Linked DNA regions of Sus scrofa. The protein of the gene in region 2 purifies or fractionates together with the protein of the main gene of each other region. This does not show direct contact. Links are inferred from orthologs where the notes say so. Each region holds a gene or a part of one and is shown on either strand. Other genes may lie near its edges.

The links.
Region 1: the proteins of VSX1 (region 2) and USP12 purify together in Homo sapiens (affinity purification with mass spectrometry; 3 studies listed by BioGRID and IntAct, counting the BioPlex papers as one, with this or other methods). This does not show direct contact. The link is inferred for Sus scrofa from reciprocal best matches to the Homo sapiens genes VSX1 and USP12.
Region 3: the proteins of VSX1 (region 2) and WDR20 purify together in Homo sapiens (affinity purification with mass spectrometry; 3 studies listed by BioGRID and IntAct, with this or other methods). This does not show direct contact. The link is inferred for Sus scrofa from reciprocal best matches to the Homo sapiens genes VSX1 and WDR20.

Annotation. Positions count from the first base shown.
Region 1 is NC_010453.5:4,685,398-4,692,577, forward strand, and holds the start of USP12 (ubiquitin carboxyl-terminal hydrolase 12), read right to left. Parts: upstream 4,395-7,180; 5' UTR 4,031-4,394; coding exon 3,983-4,030; intron 1-3,982. UniProt on the Homo sapiens protein: Deubiquitinating enzyme that plays various roles in the regulation of the immune response and inflammation.
Region 2 is NC_010459.5:30,851,545-30,858,643, forward strand, and holds the start of VSX1 (visual system homeobox 1), read right to left. Parts: upstream 4,471-7,099; coding exon 4,047-4,470; intron 1,245-4,046; coding exon 1,166-1,244; intron 660-1,165; coding exon 536-659; intron 1-535. UniProt on the Homo sapiens protein: Binds to the 37-bp core of the locus control region (LCR) of the red/green visual pigment gene cluster. May regulate the activity of the LCR and the cone opsin genes at earlier stages of development. Dispensable in early retinal development.
Region 3 is NW_018084979.1:975,906-982,796, reverse strand, and holds the start of WDR20 (WD repeat-containing protein 20), read right to left. Parts: upstream 4,395-6,891; 5' UTR 4,329-4,394; coding exon 4,080-4,328; intron 1-4,079. UniProt on the Homo sapiens protein: Regulator of deubiquitinating complexes. Activates deubiquitinating activity of complexes containing USP12. Anchors at the base of the ubiquitin-contacting loop of USP12 and remotely modulates the catalytic center of the enzyme.

The DNA of each region.
Region 1 (7,180 bases), on a different chromosome or scaffold from region 2:
ATGCCACAAGCTGCAGCATACATTGCCAATGTAGATCTCCAGATCTGGCGTGGCTGTGGCTGCAGCGTAGGCTGGCAGCTGCAGCTGCGATTCCACCCCTAGCCTGGGAACTTCCATATGCCAAAGGTGTGGCTGTAAAAAGAAAAAGAAAAAAAAAAAAGAAAAATGGGAGTTCCCGTCGTGGCTCAGTGGTTAGCAAACCTGACTGACTAGCATCCCAAGATGGGGGTTCCATCCCTGGCCTCGCTCAGTGGGTTACGGATCTGGCATTGCTGTGAGCTGTGGTGTAGTCACAGACTCGGCTCAGATGGCTCAGATCCCACGTTGCTGTGGTGGAGGCCGGCAGCTGCGGCTCGGATTGGACCCCTCACCTGGGAAGCTCCGTATGCCGTGAATGCAGCCCTAGAAGGAAAAATAAAGACACATAAGAATGAAGGCAAAATAAAAACGCATGTTTTTAAAAGAAGAATTACATCCACATCACTTCTTGAGAAGGAATAGAGAAAGTTATTACTCAGTATAACCTTCCGACTCTATGAAGACACTACCCCCACCCCCACGAACAAGGCAGGGGCTTGGAGGGTTTCCTCTCGGCCTCTTTCTGGAGGGATAAGCTGCACCAACCATACAGACAGCTGACCCTTCGTCGGTGACCCCGGGGAGACTCAAATAGTAAGAAAAGACCGTCAGTCTCACCTGGGACTTGTCTGCAGTAAGTACAGTTCAAGTCACCACCTCCAGCCCCTGCGCTAGACACAGGCTTTTCAGAAACAAACCTGTCGGACCCACGGAGCAGCTGACTTGTGGCCTTGGCCTCGCTGCCACCATGTCCTGGGGACGGAGCTGACCCCCAGGGGCTAAAGGCGGGCAAAGAGCCAGGCCAGGGCTTAAGCTCCCCTGTAACGACTTCTTCCTTACCCAGAGTGTGAGCCCCCCCAACACCCTCTTCCCAGCTGGGACTCCCACAACCCAGCAGGGAGAAAGGACGGCCCTCCCACCCCGCTGTGCCATCTAGGGTCACGGTCACTTTCCAAGCGGCTCTACAACTTCCACTGTGATTTCAAAGCATAGGCCCCACTACACGTATTCGGTTGCTTTCCCCACTATTTCACAACTATGAAGTATAATATTAAACATTTGGAAGCTACTCTAGGCCCTGAAATCTGAAGCTACTGCAGTGGCAAAACAAGCACCTTGGGATACTGAAATTATTTCATGGACAAATAACAAGAGCCACTTCTAGAAGTACCCTGCAAATCCATCCACTGCCGTCTAAACTTAACCACACTCACTCGGGTGGAGCTGTTAACACTTTAGAGAAACAAACTAAGGTTCCCAAATCAGCAGAGCCGGTGGCAGACCACAAGAGGCACCTGAAGAGCTTCCCTGTTCACAGTCACTTAGCCCAATTAAAGGGCTGCTGATTCGCCCAGGGGCCTTATGTGGACACATGAAAGATTTACGTCAACTTTATTATTTATAGAACAAAATGTCAACTCATTACAAATGTGTTCACAGCTGCCCATTCTCTGAAAGATCATTCTCTTCAGGTCCAGCCCCTCTTCTCTCCACCGCCCCACACACAAGCCCAAGCTCACTTCCCCCAGACATCGGGGAGCAGAAACCAAGGACCCAGGAACGCTGTCCTGCACACAGGAGTTAGTGCTCCACCAAACCGCAGAAATAAACGAGAGACCTTCCACTTAGGGCCTCCGCAACCTAATAAGGAGATAAGAGAAAAATGTACAACACAGCAAGTGTGGTAAGCGCTGCTGAGATTACAGAAAGGCTGTGAAATTAGACGGGGAGGGGGGGGGACGGACGGACAGGCCTCTGATGCTTCAAGGCTACCCGCTCGAGAGACAGCCATGAACTTGCCAGACATCTGTACAAGCGCAGAGGTAAGTATCTCTGCTTTTCTTGATTATCAATCTTGTCATTCTCAGACGACAGACGGCGGTTCTCTTGAAGAATAAACTGCAGGTTACTTTGAGATGTTCAACACTATCTTGGGAGCGCATCAGAATTTCTTCTAGTGAGAACACAGACACACCCAATCTGAACACTACTTCTGGAGCAATCTCATTTGGCTGGGCACCGATGTTTCTGTATCTGCCAACAATACCCACACACCACATGCAACTAACGCACCCCGAGCGAAAGCCCTAGAAAGAGTTTTGGAGTCTACAATTCTTGAGATCATAATCCCACTTACTCCGTATTTGACGTGGCAAATCCCTCTGCGCCTCATTTTCTGAATCTGATTAGAGTATATATTAATATGGTTATGTGAATACAGTTTGTCTTCCTTAACTAGGATGTCAACACCAGGAAAGCAGAGACTGGCTGGACCACTGCTGTCTCCCCAGCGCTCTGCATACCCTCTAGCACTTGGCAGGTGCTAAACGGGGATGAACAGGCAGCAAAGGGTAACACATCACTCCAGAAACTAGACTTTGACAGTGAACCATGACCTGACAATCTGTGCAGCTCAGCAATCCGGCAACATTATCGCTTTCCAAGATGTAATTATCACATTCTTTTTGAAGCAGAATAAGATAATAATTGGCCTACCTAAAAATAATTAATGTACATGACCCCCCGAAATCCCTCTAACATCGTCCCTTTAATATCAAGGCTTTCCTAAAATGTGACTTGTGAGAGAAAAACAAACATCCGTTTGAGGAAACGGGTTCTTCAATGATTCATCCTTCAGTGTGATTTAATACTGTAGACTTTAATCCCACCTGATTTCAGCCATTTTTTATACGGTTCCTCGGCGTGCTGTATAGAATCTGCTTCTAAAGCCTCTCTCCTATCTGATTCACCATTCAGCACTTCTTAAAGGTATGTGCAAGGTCCCACCCCTAATTTTAAACGGAAGATTGTTTGGGGAACCTGCTATAAGCGTTGAAAAGGGTTGGTAAGACGTAAAAAAGAAGGAAAGATATCAGAAGTCTTTGATAACATAATCACTGGGCCCGCGTTGCAAAGGATAACTTTTCTGTGATGACTCATAATTAAGAGCGCTAGATCTAAGTCCTAAGGAGCTAATGAAACCAATCTGCCCCACCGTGTGGAAAGCTGGTCCTTCTGCTCGAGCACCGAGCACCGGATTGAAACGCACCCAGGTTTTGCTTAACTCGGGACTTTTCAACAGGCATTAGCACTTTCCCCTTAAAGTGGATTTCAGAGCTCCGGTGAAACACACACAGCAACCCTCGCCGTCAGCTCCTGCAAAGAAATACTTCCAGCCACACACGGATGCGTCTGGGGCATTAAAGTAAACAAATGACAGGAATGCTGAAGCCGTTTCCAAGGTTTACGTGGATTCCCCACGACAAGACCGCCACCTGGGCTCAGGGTTGCAAATGGGAGCTCGTTCCTCTCAGGAAGGGTAGAAAAGGGGGGGGAATTTCACCAGCACTTATTTAAAGTTTCCACCTTCACACACACCCCTTCCCTCGGCACCGGCGGGGGGCTCGGCCTCGCCCGCGGCGCGGAGAGGAAACCTGCGCCCGACTTCCGTCCCCTCCGGGCCGGGGAGGAGACCCTGCCTTCCTGCCGCAGCCCCCACGCCCGCCGGGGACCCTCCCCGCCCGGCCCGGCCCGGCCCGGCCCGGCCCGGCCCCGCCGGACGGAAAGGCGGGCGCTCCTCGCGTCCTTCCCCTCCGACCCCGGCCGGGCCCGCGGCCCCGCTCGCGCGCCCACAGCCCGGGTGCCTCGCCGCTCCGCCCCGGCGCCGCGGGGACCGGGGGCCGAGCCCCAGGCGCCGACGACCGGCGCCCACCCCGCCGGCCACCCGCGCGCCGCCGTCCCCCGGGGCCGCTCCGCTCGCGTCCGGCCGTCCAACCGCCCCCGCCCGGCCCGCGCCGCCCCCGCCCGGCTGCGGCTCCGCGCTAGGCCCCGCGGGCGGCGAGGGGCGGGGACCAGGGCCGCCGGCGGGGTCCCGGGCCGCCCGCCGCCCCCCCGCCGCACCTACCATGGTACAGATGGAGGCGAATTTGGAGACTGTCATTAGGATTTCCATCCGCCCAGCGCCATCTTCCACCCAATCACAGCGGCGGCGGGCGGGGGAGGAGGAGAGCCTGGCCGCCCGCTCGCACCGCAGCCCGCGGGCGGACCCCGAGCCGCCGCCGACGCACGCACCGAGCCTGCTCAGCCGCCGCTGCCGTCGCCGCCGCCGCCGCCGCCGCCGGCACTCCCCGCCGCGGGCCCTAGCCCCCGCCTGCCGCCCGCCCGCCCCCGGCTCCTCCCCGGCGCAGGGCGCAGCCGCTGCCTCGGGGCCCGCGCCTGCCCGCGAAGCCGCCCGCCGCACACCCCGCCCAGCGCGCTGGGGAGCGGGCTCCGCTGAGGCCCTAATGCCCGGCCTGCCCGGCAGCTGCGCGGCCCCGCGGCGCGCCCCGCCCACCGCCGCGCGCCCCGCCCACTCCCCCTCCGGCCCCGCCCACTCCCCGAGGAAGCCTCTCCAGCCGCCGAGCGCGCGCGAGTCGGGGAGCTCCGGCGTCGGCTCCACCCCGCGCGCGGCCGGGGAGGGGCTCGCGCGGGCCCTGCCTCCCGCCCGCGTCCTCCGGGTCCTAGAGCGGGTGCGCGGGGAGAGGGGCGCCGGGGGCGATGAGGGCCCTCGGCGGCCGTCGTGCAAGGGGCTGCCCCGCAGCCTCTACCGAGGGCCCTGTCCAGACAGAAAACTGAAGGGGCGGTCTCAAAATTCTGGGTGCGGCGGGAGGAAACGTGCTCGTAAACGGTCAAAATAGCGAAGGTCATAGAGAGTCCCAAACAGCTAGAATGTAAGGTGGTTTGTTTCTTTTTACGCACATTGGGTGGATCACCTAGGTCAAAATACCGAAATGTAGCAGAAGACAAGTTCATTACATAAAAATGAAAGCGGCAAAGAAGAAACTATATACGCTTAGTTCTTTGAATTAAGAAAGGTCAATTATGGGGAAGGGGGCAAAGCTGCTTTTCCTGTCTGCTTGTCGGCCATAAATTTAGAATATGGTTATAAATATAGTATCTAAATATACTGGTTCCAAAAGTTGAGTCGCAAAATAGGGAGGATGTCAACCCCGCGCTGATGATGTTCCCAGAGACGAGAAGTCCCGCAAGTTGAGAACAATGTCCTGTGAGAAAGAGAGATGGTGTTAGTCAGGGGGATAGTTCCTATGTGCCGTTTTTATAAAATGCATCATTGCACCCTGTTCTTTGTGCCAGACAGCTAGGCTTTATTTATTCCTATTTGCGAAAGAAGTTCAAGTTAGTAGCATAGCTTTACCAATTATTATATTAGAAAGCTTGTGATTTTTCACTGTTGGAGAACTCGTGGCGAGGGGCTTTTTGGGGTTCCTCGGTTTCACTGGGGCAGAAATTCAGACAGATCTCTAAAATCAGATATGCCTTAACTTGCAGGTTTAAGACATTCAAAAAACAAAACATTCAAACAAAATTTAGATGAAGAATAGATTTCTGGCACATGAATGCTGTTTCCACAGTGATTTCCACTATAAGCTTGCTTGGGGAGGGGGCGATTGCAAATAGAATATACCCAAGTCCCAGCGTAGCTGGCCCACTTCTCTAGGCACCTGCCTCCTTGATAGCCAGGCCCTCCCTCTATGCACTGATACACGCAAGCCAGTGCTAGAATGTGCCAGCACCACGCATTCAGGTACCTGGAGGGCTGGCCTCCCTATTCGCTGCCTAGACTTGGACTGGAGTAGTGCGTTATAGCCACACGGAAAGGCACAGGTGATACCATTGCAGAGCCTAACGGCAAAACTCACAGTGCCTCCTCCTCCCTGCGTAAGTTTGACTAGAAAGGCACAAACATAAAAAGAGAGGCTTCCACGTCCTAGGTGCTGTGCTGGGGTGTTTTTTCTTTCTTTTCTTTTTTTTTTTTTTTTTTTCCGCCATATATAATGCAGTTGAAGATAAGATTTAGCTGAAATGTCATACTTTTGCCCCAGAGCTTAAAAGGGATCATCTGGGGTTAGAATCGTTTTTAACCCGTAGTGGTATCAGCTTCACAAAGAGCTTCATTGTACGTAGGGAAAGATGAGTTTGTGTACAACCGCCTTCTTTGGGGCCTTCCTGAGTGTATAAGCTACAAATTATACTCAGATAAATTTAGGGACCAAGGAAGTAAACAAACTAGGGCCGAGTTTAAAATGGTTTCACTTGAATAATTGTACACAATCCTGTACTGTCCACTTCCTTGCAGGCCACTTCATCTTTTCCGTTATTCTCCCAGTCTCCAGTTAACCACGTGTTGCTGTGTATATTTCTTGCCTATGATGGAGGGGGAAGAAGTGAGGGGAGGGGTTGGAGAGGCATCCCTAAGGACAGGGAGTGCTCATCGAGGACTTAGCCCCATGCCCCAAGCATTTTCTCAAATCCCCATAACAACCCAGGAGAGGAGATGCCATTATCGTCCCCATTTTCTAGATGAGGAAACAGAGCCACGAGGTAAATTTCCCAAGGTTGCACAACTCGTAAGCAATGGAAACATGATTTTAACCTGGCTCCAGAGGCCACATCTGTATCCTTTCTGCTAACCAGCTCAGGTCAAAGTGCTTCATTTTGATTCTAGTAAAATGGGATTGAAAGGCACTGACTCTTTGGGGACCCATGTGCAGGTTTTAGCTACAAAATATACTCAGACAGCTATTTCTTTGTCTTACTTTCCTCCTCTGGAAAAGAAGGGTAATGACTATGCCTACCCCAAAGGGGTGCAATGAGGATAGAACACGGAGACAAGTTTCTAAGACGGCTTGCACGCAACGCAGACAGGACAGCGCTGAATGGACATTCGGTGTCAACATTTTAAAAGTCAGGATGGGCTAGTACAGCTCTCAGGGTGCCGGTTTCCTTCCTCCATACATGTAAAGAGCCTCTGCTATGTGCCAGTCACCTGATTTAAATGCATTTTCTTTCTTTCTTTTTTATTTTATTTTACTTTATTTTATGGCTGCACTCAGGCATATGGATTCTCCCGGGCCAGAAACAGAATCTGAGCGGCAGCTGTGAGCTGTGGCAACACCGGATCCTTTAACCCACTGTGCTGGCCAGAGATTAAATCTGCTCCTCCACAGCAACCTTAGCCACTGCAGTCAGGGTCTTTTTGCCTTTTTTTTTTTTGAGGGCTGCCCCCTCGACATATGGAGGTTTCCAGGCGAGGGTCCAATTG
Region 2 (7,099 bases):
GAAAACCCAAGGCAGGCTACTTACATTGGTTTCTTCAAGGGTTTCAGTGGAGGGATAGTCACTTTTTCATTGAGATCGTTACGTAGTCTCTGGATTCAGCTTATACTATGTAATTTTTTTCATTTCAGGGCCCCATCTGCCTCATATGGAACTTCCCAGACTAGGGGTCAAATCAGAGCTGCAGCTGCCGGCCTACACCACAGCCACAGCAACACCAGATCCGAGCCACATCTGTGACCCACACGGCAGCTTGCAGCTCCTTAACCTTCTGGCAAGGCCAGGGATGGAACCCAAATCTTCACAGACACTCTGTCAGGTTCTTAACCTGCTGAGCCACAATGGGAGCTCCGCACTGTGTAATTTTTAGGAATGATTTAATAAAAGGAAGAGGTCATCCTCTTCAAACTCACCCAAAGGAAGGCTCTGGGATCTAAGGCTCTGGGATCTTTGGTTTGTGTGTGAGGGGAAACCCTGGGGCACCCCCCTGCATGAGAACAGGTGCTCGCTGGTGTCTTTGGGAGGAGGAGCCTGGCACCTGTATCCGGTCTTCCGGGAGCTCAGTCTTCACAGCCAGCATTTCCCGGGCATACACGTCGGGGTAGTGGGCCTCGCTGAAGGCCTTCTCCAGCTCCTCCAGCTGGTGGGCAGTGAAAACCGTCCTGCAGGGAGGCCCAGATGCTTGAGTGGGCACCTGCCCACCTCCAAGGACACTGTGCTTCCCCCCACCCCCGCCCTCGCCACATTGTCCACAGCCTGGAAGTCCAGCTCATGATAACTGGACCCCCCACCTCTGAATGGTTAGCCTCTGGAAAATCTGCAATTTGATTCAAACAAAACAGTTTTTTAGGTCTTTTTCTTTTCCTTTGGCCATACCCACAGTGGCTGTTTCGGGGGCTGGGGATCAAAACTGTGCCACAGCAGTGACAACATCAGATCCTTAACCCACTCCATCAGCTCACTCTAAGAAAACATTAAAGGCCCACAAAATTGTGTCTGTAAAATGCTACAAAGACAGACCTGCGGCCCCCTGGGAATCACAGAATTACGTTCCCAAGTGGCTACTGTGCCCTTTCCACTGCAGACTAGGAGGCCCTGGGCCTACCCTAACTCGCAGGACCAGACAGTCTCAGATGCTGAGTCCCAAGGACAGGGGCAGGGCAGGTACCTGTGCCTTCGCTTCTTCCTCTTGCCGGGGGTGGGGGGCAACTTCAGGTCACTCCTATCTTCAGGCAGGCTGTCCTCTTCTGTCAGCACAAGAGGAAAGAGGGGACTTTAAAGGCATGCATACTTTTTTTTTTTTTTTTTTTTTTTGTCTTTTTAGGGCCATGCTTGCAGCATATGGAGTTTCCTAGGCTAGGGGTCCAATCGGAGTTGTAGCCTCTGGCCTACGTCAGAGCCACAGCAATGTAGGATCTGAGCCTCGTCTGTGACCTACACCACAGCTCCTGGCCACACCGGATCCTTAACACACTGAACAAGGCCAGGGATCAAACCTGCGTCTCATGGATGCTAGTCGGGTTCGTGAACCACTGAGCCACAATGGAAACTCCAAGGTGCACATATTTTTCACTTTTTTTCTGGATCTTAATTTAAGGGTTGAAGCTATGAACCTGTCCAGATGTGAATACTTAATAACACAAGCCTGCATTTTTCACACTCACCGTATTCCAGGTGCTGTAGCTTAGGTGCATTGCCTATACATCACCATTTTTCTTCATAAATTAAAAGAACTCTCTTTTTACAAAGGAGGAAACCAAGGCAGAGAGAGATTAAGTAACTTACCCAAGATTACATAGGTGGTCAACAGTGAAGCTGGGATTCAAACCCCAGACTGTATGAAGCCAAAGCTACATGAACACCAAATGCATTTCCTGTCCCCTTTAGCTTCCAAATCCATCCACTTCTTTCTGCCTCCATCTCAGCTTCCTCATCTTAACCAACACACCATTTCTCAAAGGGAGGGCCAAGGTTTGTGATATCAGGGCTAGTTCCCTAACCTACTGTTCCAATTCCAAATCTCTGGAAGTGAGGTCCAGAAAGCTCATTCTTGGCTAGGGTGCCCAGGTGATTCATAGATGCACTCAAAGAATCTTAAGAATGTTTTATCTTTTGAAATAAATTATATCAAAAGATTTTTCTAGGTTGAGGGAGTTTCCAACATGGCTCACCAGTAATGAACCTGACTAGTATTCATGAGGATGTGGGTTCAATCCCTGGCCTTGCTCAGAGGGTTAAGGATCTGGCATTGCAGTGAGCTGTGGTGTAGGTCGCAGATGCAGCTCGGATCCTGCATTGCTCAGGCTGGGGCGTAGGCTGGCAGCTGCAGCTGTGATTCAACCCCTAGCCTGACCCACAGATGGATCCTAAAAATAAAAAAAAAATTTTTTAATTAAAAAAAATATCTAGGTTGAAAGGAAGATTAGAAGACCAAACTATTGGCAGATTCATTGTTAAAAAAAATATTTGCTTCAAAACACTAAAAAGTGAATTAATAATGGCAAAAAACAGTAAAATAATGTTTTACTTCTACATCAATTAGTTCACCAGAAACTTGGATTACAATATAGTATTTGTGCTGTCCAGTCTGGACACATAAGTTTTTTGAGATATGAAATGTGGCCCATCTGAATTGAGACCTGCTGTAAATGTGAAATATTTGGTGTATTTTGAAGATCTAATACCCCCAAATAAACTATTAACAATTTTTATATTGATTACATGTATAATAATATTTTCTGTGTATTGAATTAAATAAAATACAGTATTTAGGTTTGTTTCACCTATTTATTTCTCCTTTTCCAGGTAGGTTTGAGAAATTTTCATTACTCTTGAAGTCACATGTTTCTACTGGACAGTGTTGGTCTTGATCTTGCAGAAATGCCCTCATAGACTAGGATGTGGTGGCATTTTGCCTTCAGCTTTGTCAGTATTCACAGAGAAAGAACCCACCCTATGAAGGTGGTCTCTGCATTTCTAGTGAAACAACTACTAGAGGGCTTCATTTTATCTTACCTAGAGACTCATGAAATAAAGTCCATTCATTTTTTACCTTTATTTTTATTTTTACCTTCTCATCTGGGGTACATGAAAGTTCCCAGGCTAGGGCTTGTATCATAGCCGCCGCAACATCAGATCCCAGCAGCACCTGAGACCTACACTGAAGCTTGTGGCAGAGCGCTGGATTCTTAACCCACTGAGTGAGGCCAGGGATGGAACCCCCATTCTCACAGAGACAACCATCGGTTTTTAACCCACTGAAGAGACAGCAGGAACTCTCATAACGTGAAAGCTGGCCTGCCTCTGATCCAATCTGCTTCCTCTAGACATCGATAGAGAGCCATGTAAACCTGCCTTGGCTGAGGGATGCTCAGCTCTGGGGTCTATACAAAGTTTATGTGCGCCCACCTTTTCGCTGGTAATTCTTAGTTCTCTCCCCCCTCCCGCCCCAAATCTCTCTATTTCATGGCCGTGTCTTTATAGAGTTCCACTGCTCCCTTCTCTTCTCCACTATCCTCCCTGACTTCTCTGAGGAGCCCGGCACTGCTGCCATAGACCGAGGAGCTTGTTTCTCCTGAGCCAGAGGGGCAGAGAAGCGCGGGACCCCCACGCCTATTTCAACTCTAGGAGGACAGTTCCAGGCCTCCACCTCGTGCTCTTCAAAGGCCAGTCAATGAGTCCATCAATTCAGGGAATGCTCAAGCGCTGGTTGGTACTGGGTTCGGTGTGCTGACAAACCAGGCGGGCCCAGGCCTCCCAACCTCCGCTGTTCCCTGATCCTCGCGGGGAACACTCCCCCACCCCCAAGACCCCAGGGCAGATTCGCACCGGGTTGTAGGGGTGTGTGCAGGGCGGCGGCGACCAGGCCCAGAGGAGAGGCAGGGATGTGGGCAAAGCCAAGGGCAGAGGGTGCTCCCTGGCGGGGCCACTCTGGGGTCCCGACTTCCCTGGATCTGGGGAGATGAGGTGGGGCTCGGCGGGGTGCTGAGTGTCACCCTGCGCACCACGCCGAGGCAAGGGGCAGGAGCGGCACGGACTGGCCTCATTACCGGACGTCGAGACGCTCTCGCTGCGCTTCTGACGGATGCTCGTGGGCGGTGAGCGGCCGAGGACGTGCGGGGCGGGGGGCTCAGGCCCCTCGGGCGGCAGGAACGGCACATCGGCTAGAAGCAGGCAGGGCGCCCCGGCAGCCGCAGGGGGCTGCGCACCGAAGCTGCAGAGGAGGCCGAATCCCAGCGGGAGGGCCCCGCGCGCCAAGCCAGAGTCCCCGAGCCCTGGACCGGCGCAGGGGGCAGCCGCGGGGCCTTCGCAGCAGGATCCCGGCCCAGGGCCTGCAGGTGCAGGCAGCTCGGCCTCCAGGCCCAGCAAGTCAGTGATGGCGAAGCCCCGGGGGCGCGAGCCAGTGGGCGGGCCTCCGGGCACCAGCGCCCTGCTCCTGGCACACCCGTCGGAAAGCGCGTCCCGGCCAGTCATGGCTTACTGGGCGGCGGGGCTGAACTCTCTCGGTCACCTTTGCGGAGGGGGCGCAGTTCTGAGGACGCTTTATACAGTCAGGAGCCAGGAGGGCTCCAATCAGCGGGGTGCGGGCGCGTCACGCCTCGGACCCCGCGAGATGGGGACGCCACCAGTTCCCCTCCCTTCGGTCGCCGCCCTCCCAGCTGCAGTCCCGTCAATCGGCCCCCATCCCTCTCCCCTCTCCTTTCCAATTGTCCCTCTGCCCACCCTGTTCTTGGTGGGAGGAAAATAGAGAGGGGAGGACCGGCTCTCTGGCCATCTCTCTAAGAGCCGCAGGTTCCAGATCCCGGCGTGGTCTTCTCTCCCCTTCTCGGCTCTCGGGTGGAGGCCCCTGCTTGCAGCTGCCCTGGAGCCTCCCTGCCCCCATCCAGTCACTCGTTAAGACCTAGGGCCTATTCCCTGCCGCTCTTTGACTACTATCACTAAGACCCCCGCCAGCCCTCCAACACTACCGTCACCGCGGACAAGACCTTCCTCGAAATTCCCAAGGGGAAAGGAGTGGAAAACGTTTATTTAATCAGTGCCCACTCCACCTCCAGCCATTGGCGGAGGCTGGCCATCGGCGCCATCGGGCCATCAGCTTGTCGCAAAATTCACTGGAGCTGGAGAAGGAATAGGAAACAGAGGCTGGGGCAGATGGACCCCGCCGGAACTGCGGGGAAGGGCGCCACGTTTAGCAAACTAAATTCCAGGAGGTGCAGTGAAATCACAATTTCAGATGAAGTCACTTTAGAAATATGTATAAGAACGTATCTGTATTTTATCTGGCGACTCCTAAATGGGGAGAGTAAATTGGAAAATTGGGCCTGTGTACTGAGACCCATCCCACTTCACGGAGGCTAACAAATTATTGTTTCATGATTATTCAAAGAAAGCCTGATTTTCATGTGAAATGCCCGTGTTTGTTCAAGATGCAAAACGAAGCACGTGGGTAAAATTCTCCTGGCTCACACGCCAAAAAGTTGAGCCCACCCAACCAGATTCGCTGGGAGCCCTGAGCCCACCCTTCTCAAACAAGGAAGGAGGGAAGCAAAACCTGTCATTCCCACCCTGAGGGCGAGCAGCCGGCGGCCGCCCAGCGAGGGACGCAGCAGCTCTCCCAGCGCCCCGCGGACGCCTCTCGGGTCTCTGCGCGCCTCCGAGGCCGAGGGGAAACCCGAGCAAAGGGGATCTCCCGCTGGCCACGCCTGGGGCTGGATCCTCTGCAAACCCAAGGATTAAACCAGGGGCTTCCGATAAAGATAATTACAAGAGGCTGCGCATTAACTTTTCATTATTAAAAGAAGACCCAAATCTCTCCTCGCAAGCTGTTCCCTGGATTAACAAAACAATAACTTTCCTTTGGGATAATTGTCCTTTGAGTCGCTCCGGGTCGGGGGCAGCTTTAGAAGCCGGCGTCCTTTTTGGCTCCGCCAGGAATTTCTCCCCAAATTTATCTCTGGGTTTAGGGAAAGGTGTTGAGTGTACAGAACCCAGCCAAAATGCTCTGGCTCTTGGCCCGGCAAAGCAGTAGTTTGTGAATCAGAATTTGGGGCCGCAGTTAAGGATGACATTTAAGATGCACATATTTACAGACTGTGCTGGGGAGCTGGTGGGACAAACACACCTAAAGGTGGCCCCGCCCGGGGCATTGGCAGGATCGGGTCTCAGAGGCAGATGTGTGCTCGCGGTGTCTGCTGCTAGGACAGCCGAAGGCTCCCCCTCGCCTGGGCCCAGGATTCCAAGTCTCTGAACACAGCCTCTGCCAGGGGAGGCCTCGAGTAGATGGCCATAGACCCAGAGGTACCGAAAGGCCATCCAGGAGGAGCCCAACTTCAGCCACCCCACATGGTGACCACCACTCAGGGCCAACAGCACACGGGTTTCCAACTCCTTCGGAAGTATATTACAAAACCCATTTTGCAGATGAGAGAAAATGAGGTGTATTAACCCGCTCGCATCTAATATGAGAGAAAAACCGGGAGAGCGAAGCAGAAAGAGACCCGAGGGAGACCCAGGGTTGGGGCTGTAATGGGACCTTGCAATTTCTGGACAGGAGAGTCACTGCCGCCTCCTCCGGCCCCACTTGGAGGAAGGAGCCCTAGGGAGGGACCAGAGTGTGGGGAGAACGGAACTTTGGGAGCTTTCTTTTCCGCGGCAAGGCAGCGCTGGGAGTGCGGCGCTGGAGGGCACTCACTTCCCCCACCCACGTTAATCCGCACCCCACTCCCACCCCCAGCTGCCGCGGAGGATCGCGGGTCCACTCGCGCCCCCACCCCAGTGGATTGGCTCAGCGGTGGGAGCCGGGCGAAGCGCGCCGTCCAGCGTCTGCCCAAGCTGGTGAAGTCAGTCCAGAGTTTTGGGAGACTCGGAAGGAACCCGGTCCCGAGCCCACCCACGTTCCTGAGGGGTGTCTCCCGGCCCTGGGCGGGTGCCGAGTCTACGCGATGGGCGACAGCTTTGGGGAAGTCCTTGTCCCTCACCCCACCCGCGACGGTGGAAGGTAGGCCCCCCTCCCCCCCCAACGTATACAAATTTGCAGCCAGGGCCAGAGCGCTCACGTCGGTCCCCGCCCGGGTACCCCTCCTCAAGTCGTTTAGAACCCTAA
Region 3 (6,891 bases), on a different chromosome or scaffold from region 2:
AGATGCTTTCATCTACCTCAAAAGATTGCTGCCAAGATTCAATGAAATTGCACAGGGCAAGAGTTCCCGTCGTGGCGCAGTGGTTAACGAATCCGACTAGGAACCATGAGGTTGCGGGTTCGGTCCCTGCCCTTGCTCAGTGGGTTAACGATCCGGCGTTGCCGTGAGCTGTGGTGTAGGTTGCAGACGCGGCTCGGATCCCGCGTTGCTGTGGCTCTGGCATAGGCCGGTGGCTACAGCTCCGATTTGACCCCCAGCCTGGGAACCTCCATATGCCGCGGGAGCGGCCCAAGAAATAGCAACAACAACAACAACAAAAAAAAAAGACAAAAGACAAAAAAAAAAAAAAAAGCTGGATCAGTCTCCCTTCACCAAGACAATTCTTTAGGAGTTCCCACTGTGGTACAGTGGGTTAAGAATCTGACTGCAGCCGCCCAGGTTGCTGCAGAGGCACAGATTCAATTCCTAGCCTAACTCAGGGGATTAAAGGATCCAGCATTGCTACAGCTGCGGCGTAGGTTCAGATTCAATCCCTGGCCCAGAAACTTCCATATGCCGTGGGTGCAGCCATTAAAAAAAAAAAGAAGAAGAAGAAGAAGACAGTTCTTTAGATTCAGTTGCGTTTCTTTACCATGAATTCTCTACGTGAAGAAAAAACTGTATCACAGGATTGTACACCTTGGCCTTCTCTGAGGGGCTGAGGCTCCATGACCCCTAAGGTGCCTCTAGCTCTAAAGACTGACCTGTGTCTCACAGGGGTCAAGATTACTCTCCTTAGCGTGGACCTTAGCCTACCTCCTCGTCCACTCCACTCCCCCATGCCTGCACACCTGCTTTCAGGAATGACAGCACATAGTTCATGACTGAAGTTTTTTGAAAGACCCAGTTTCCATTTACAGCAGTGTGGATGGACCTAGGGAATATTAAGCTTAGTAAAATAAGTCAGACAGAGAAAGACAAATACTATATGATATCACTTGAGGAATAAAAAATAATACAAATGAATGTATAAGCAAAACAGAAACAGACCCACAGATACAGAAAACAAACCAGTGGTTACCAAGAGGGGAGTGCAAATTAGGGGTATGGGATTAAGCGATACAAACTACTACATATAAAATAGATAAGCAACAAGGATATATTGTATAGCACAGGGAATTATACCCATTACCTCACACTTTTCATCAAGATCATCTAAAAATACTAAATCACTAGGCTGTATACTTGAAACTAATCATACTATAAATCAACTATACTGCAATAAAAAAAATTTAAAAACCTAGTTTCCACTCACTTCACATGCAGATTTGAGTTGAATGTATTCATCCAAATTAAAGTTTCTGAATATTCTGAACGATCCAATTAATTGCTGTAAAACTTTACATGCCCTGAAGAAAAAATTTTTTAAAAGAGACACAATGACCAAGTGTCAAAAACAGATTTGTAACTCCTAACCACAAAAAGTAAAATGGGGGGGACTAGGGAGGGGACTGCTTTTTAAGGGCCACACCCATGGCATATGAAGTTCCCAGGGTAGGGGTTGAATCAAAGCTATAGCTGCTGGCCTGCGCCACAGCCTCAGCAACACCAGATCTCAGCTGCATCTGCAACCTACACCACAGCTGACAGCAAGGCCAGGGATCGAACTCACAACCTCATGGATACCGGTCGGATTTGTTTCTGCTGCACAGCAGGATTCCCAAATTTGGGGTTTTGACTAATGAAAATTATCTGCTCTATTTTAAAATCAGAAAATAGTTGTTCCCATCGTGGCACAGTGGTTAACGAATCCAACTAGGAACCACAAGGTTGTGGGTTCGATCCCTGGCCTTGCTCAGTGGGTTAAGGATCTGGTGTTGCCGTGAGCTGTGGTGTAGGTTGCAGATGTGGCTCGGATCCCACATTGCTGTGGCTGTGGTGTAGGCCGGCAGCTATAGCTCTGATTCGACCCCTCGCCTGGGAACCTCCATATGCGGCGGGAGCAGCCCTAGAAAAGGCAAAAAGACCCAAAAAAAAAAAAAAAAATCAGAAAATAGAATCACAAAAACAATCACATACAGTCAGAAATAACAAAAAATAAACGCAAACGCATTCATGGAAAATGAAAAAACAGTTTTTCTCTTTATAGGGCCGCACCCTCGGCATAGGGAGGTTCCCACGCTAGTGGCTGAATCAGAGCTGTAGCCACAGCCACAGCAACTCGGGATCCGAGCCGTGTCTGCGACCCACACCACAGCTCATAGCAACGCCGGATCCTTAACCCACTGAGCGAGGCCAGGGATCGAACCCGCCACCTCATGGTTCCTAGTCAGATTCGTTTACCACTGTGCCACGACAGGAACTCCAAGAAAACTTTTATTTAAAAAGGTAACTGCTACCACTAATTAATTGTTCACATATTTAGGTTTTATGTACTTTTAAATTTTATGTAATTCAATTTTAGTAACTTAAAATTTTAAACTTATTTCCAGAGAAAAAGCTGATCTTTTCAGTTCTCGTAGCAATGTCAAGACAGGAGCTCCTGTTTGACAGTTGCTTTTCATGCTTATTTTAACCATACTTTACAACCACTGAGTGTTGCGGGGCTTTAAAGTTCATCACAATCATTACACCATAAATCACAAGGTGTGTACTGCAATATTCACTTTTGAAAGAGCTGCAGATAGAGGTTAAATAACTCGTCCAAGGTCACCCAACAAGTCAGTGACAGAGTTGAGAGTAGGACTAAAACTTCAGCTCCTTGACTACTAACTACTTCACTTCTCCAATTCCGAAGGAGAAAAAATAAAGCCGCAATTTACTTTCAGTAATCTGCAACAACAAGATACCTCAAACGCAGCCGTACACTTACCATAAACACTACCAAAAAGATTCACCCAGAACAAATGAGACAACGTGTTACATACATCTAGATACCACGGTCACAGCCCTAGCTCTTGGAATCCAGCAAAAACTAAATCCCCAACAAGTTCACCCTTCAATATACACAATTTACTCTCACACTAATCGAACATGTATCAGTCAATCGATTATCACTGTTTCCCACGCCCAGGTGCTGGGAGGTACACTAATTTCCTCACTCTTCTAAGAGTCAACTCAAAGACCGCACATCTCAAAAGGAAGCAGCTGTCAATGAGAACGAAGTTATGTAGCCAGGGAAAGAAAAGCTCTAATAAGTTGCCCCTTTTGAAGAGACATGTTTAAAGGATGATTACATGCTTGACAGAATTACTGTTAAAACGCCCGCCAAGAAGAATGGTTCTAGTAAAGCAGCTTTTAAGGCAGAGCCCTCCCTGTTTGGGACACAGCCTGACTTGTTGGACAAGACTGATCTGGGCACGCTCGCACAGAACCCCTGCGAACCAGCGTAGTTCACCGCAAACGTCGTTGCCACCTAACTCTAGCACTCAGCCTGTCCCATGCTCTAAGGGACACGACCCTGTGACACCCTCTCAGGAGAAGGTTCCCTCCGCGGAAGCAGTGACAGCTGTCTTCCCACGGATGTTTCTGGACACAGTGTTACCATCAGAAGGAGGGGCTCCCAGGAAGTGTCAGTGCGGCAGCAGGTGGAGTAGCCCTTCGTGCCGAGCAGGTCCTTTCTGACCTATCTCAAGTGCTCCGCTTCCCAGCCCCGGTTCCGCCTTACAGGTCTTCCCAGGCCGCCCCGCGCCCCGGTTCCCTAACCCGGAGCGAGACTCTCAGCCCTCCCAGGAGGCGAGGCGGTCTCAACAGACTAGACGGCCACCCCACCTCTTCCGGGGACCCGCAGGCCCGCTCCCTGGCCGTGTCAGAGACGGACAGACCCTGCCGGAGGGGAGGCAGCCGGCGCCTTCTGAGGCCTCCCGGCCGGAACCCCGCGCCCCGCGGTCCCTTTCCACCGCCCCCACCCGTCCGACACCCCGCCGCCGCCCTCCTCACTCCCGAAGCCCCTTCCTCAGGCGCACTCCAGTGGAGTTACCGGCCCACTCAAAAGTAAGAGCGACGGCCACCCCCCCGGTCACCCTGGCCCCGCTGTCACCGCCCTGCTCCCGGCCTCGGCCCACGCCGCTGGCGAGCCCCGGTGACGCCCGGGTCGGTACCTTGCGGACCCCCTTGTAGATATAGAAGTAGAGCTCCCGGCCCACATTGAAGCAGAGGCGGTCGCCGTTGCCAGACTGGTCGTTGAGGTTTACGAAGGAGACGCGGACAGGGTTGGATCCCTGCGAGCTGAAGGGCACCCGGTTGGGCCGGCTGTACTCCGAGTGCGGCAGCAGCTTGTACAGACCTTCCCGGGTGGTGAATTGGGTCTTAATCTCGTTCATCTCCTTCCCTCCTCCCTCCGTCGCCATCTTGGAAAGCAGCGTTCATCCTGCCCTAAGTGCCCGGATCACGCCCACCGCGCAGGCGCCGTCTCGGGCTCCCGCGCTCCCCCCGCCCCTTTCTCCTGGCCCCTCCCACCTGCGAGCCGGCCCCGCGGAGGCCGGCGAGGAGAAGGGGACGGGCTTGTTTACGGCCCGACTGCGCAGGCGTGCTCACCTGGCGCGCTCCACGCGGCTGGGCGTGCGCAGGCTCCGCCCCCGGGCGCGGCCTCGGGGCGGGGCTGCGGTTGGGGGTCTGGGGGCGGGCCGGCCGTTCCACCGCCCCCGCCGCCCCCGAGCTGGCCTGCGGGAGGCGCTGACGTGAGCTCGCGTGGGCTGCTCAGCTGCCCCGGTCCTGACTTGCAGTCCTGGGACCCCCAGGGGCGGAGGAGAGCGCCGCCTCGGCCGCCGCCCAAGTCGGGGTCGGCACATGGGGTACCGTGAACAGAGCTCGGAAGCCCCCGTGTTCTACCCACGCGAGGGTGCGGGAGAGCCCCCTTCTTCTGGGGCCTCCCCTCGGCCCCCCGGCTGGACCGTCCGGACGCCTGGGTCAGGAAGCCCCTCTGCACCTGTGCATCCTGAGTTCGTTTCCGAGAAGGTACCGAAGACCCTGTTTTCCGCTTCATCATTCGTTTTTTCAGGCGAGGCGGCGGGGAAGGGAGTGTACCTGCCCAGCACCTGTGTTGTTAGCAAGTCAAATATCTGAATACCTCTCTGGGGTGAGCCTTGGCTAATTTAAGGAAAGCAGGTAGTGATGGCACGTCTGTTTTAAGTTTGTCTCCACCAGGTGTTTAGAGAAAGGAGGAGGGAAATGGCTTTGGGAACTAGGATCTAAATTAAGCAGAATTCAACTTCTCTTACTCAATAGTTTATCAGGAGCTCTTAGAAAAATTGGAGGCTGTTGATTTTTTTTTTAAGGCTTAAGCGGAATCTGCGAAATTGTTTGCCAGGCGTAGTTGTGTGGCTGTTCTGTACTCGGTCTAGACATGTAAGGACAGGCACACGTGTTGCAGATTAAACAATCACCCTTTTGTGCCCAGGCTTCTTGGCATGTTGCCCTGGAATGAGAAAGTTCCTAAAGTGACAGAAACATTAATGATAGAATGTGGGGGTGTGGGTGGGGGAGCCAGCATTTGTTACACGAAGAGTGATCCATCCCTTTGTGTTCACATCACACCTGGAGGATCACAGAAGAAGTGGAGGGGGGTAAGTTCGCAGGTAAGAGGCGTCTAAATCATAAACATCCTGTCTTGCAAAGCAAGCAGGTGCCAGTGGCAACTGTACCAGTGATGTAATAATGCATTTGACACCAACGCCCTGTGTCCTCTGTCCATGTTGTCAGAACACTAGAGTCACCTCCCCTTAATGAGACCTAAAATGCCTCAGATGTTTTGTTACAGTTGTTTTCATGTTGTCTGGCTTCTGCTAAAAGTCAAACAGGTATCAGCAGTCTTATAAAATGCCGGAATGTATTCTGAGGTCACCATAGATTTATCCGCATTTCTTATAACTGTGTTGTTTTACATTGAAAGTGTGTATTACCTTCCTTGAGGGATAGTCACATTCGGAAACACCTAAAAACAATTCAGCTGTGTTCCCTAGTTATCAAGGGGGGAAACGTGCAATAATACTTTTTGAAGGAAGAAAAAAAAACTCAGCAAGCAAAAATGAAAACATAAAAATTACATCAGCCTTCAATTAACCATAATACCTGTATAGCTTAGGCTTCTACTCAGGTTTTGTTTTTTGGTTTTGATAGGGTTTTTTGGCCATGCCCACAGTATGTCAAAGTTCCCAGGCCAGAGATCAAACCCAATCCATAGTTAAAGCCAGAGCCACAGCAGTGTCCTTAACTGGCTGACCATAAGAGAACTCCTGTGGCTTATTCTATATAAATTTAACATTTTCTTGTGAACACAATAATAAGCTGCTCTCCTTGTCCCATCCAAAGCCTTTGGATAATCTCTATTCTTAACACATTTTTCTCTTGTTGTCTTTCCTCCCCAACACATACTCAAGGATTCAGTATTCACTACCCAGATATATACAGCTGGCCATGACCTAAAGTTCATTTCTGATATTTAGTTTCAAACCAGGCATTTCTAAATGGATTTGTGCCTCAAATTCATCAGTCTTTGAAGCTTATCAATTCCCTTCCATATCTTCAAAGTTGAATGGTATAATGGCTTCATAAATATTTCCTTAATTTCACTTTTTCCTCTCAACTTTCCTCCTACAAGCAAGTGCCAAATTAATCTCCTTAAAATAGTGCTTTAGACATTATATTCTTTTGCCCCAAAACTCTCAATAACTTTAAATATCCAAGCACTTCCTAGCCCATTCTTAGGTATTCCGTAATCCTCCATGCCAAACTGTTCTGCCATCACCGTTAGCTCTTTCTCTTGATTGAAGAGACCTTCCTCTCCTTGCCTCTTCACAGCTCATACTTTTTTTTTTTTTTTCCTGCTTTGGCCACGCGCTCATCAGTAGACTTTCCCAGGGCCAGACAGTGAACCCAAGCCACAGCAGTGACAACTCTGAATCCTTTACTGCT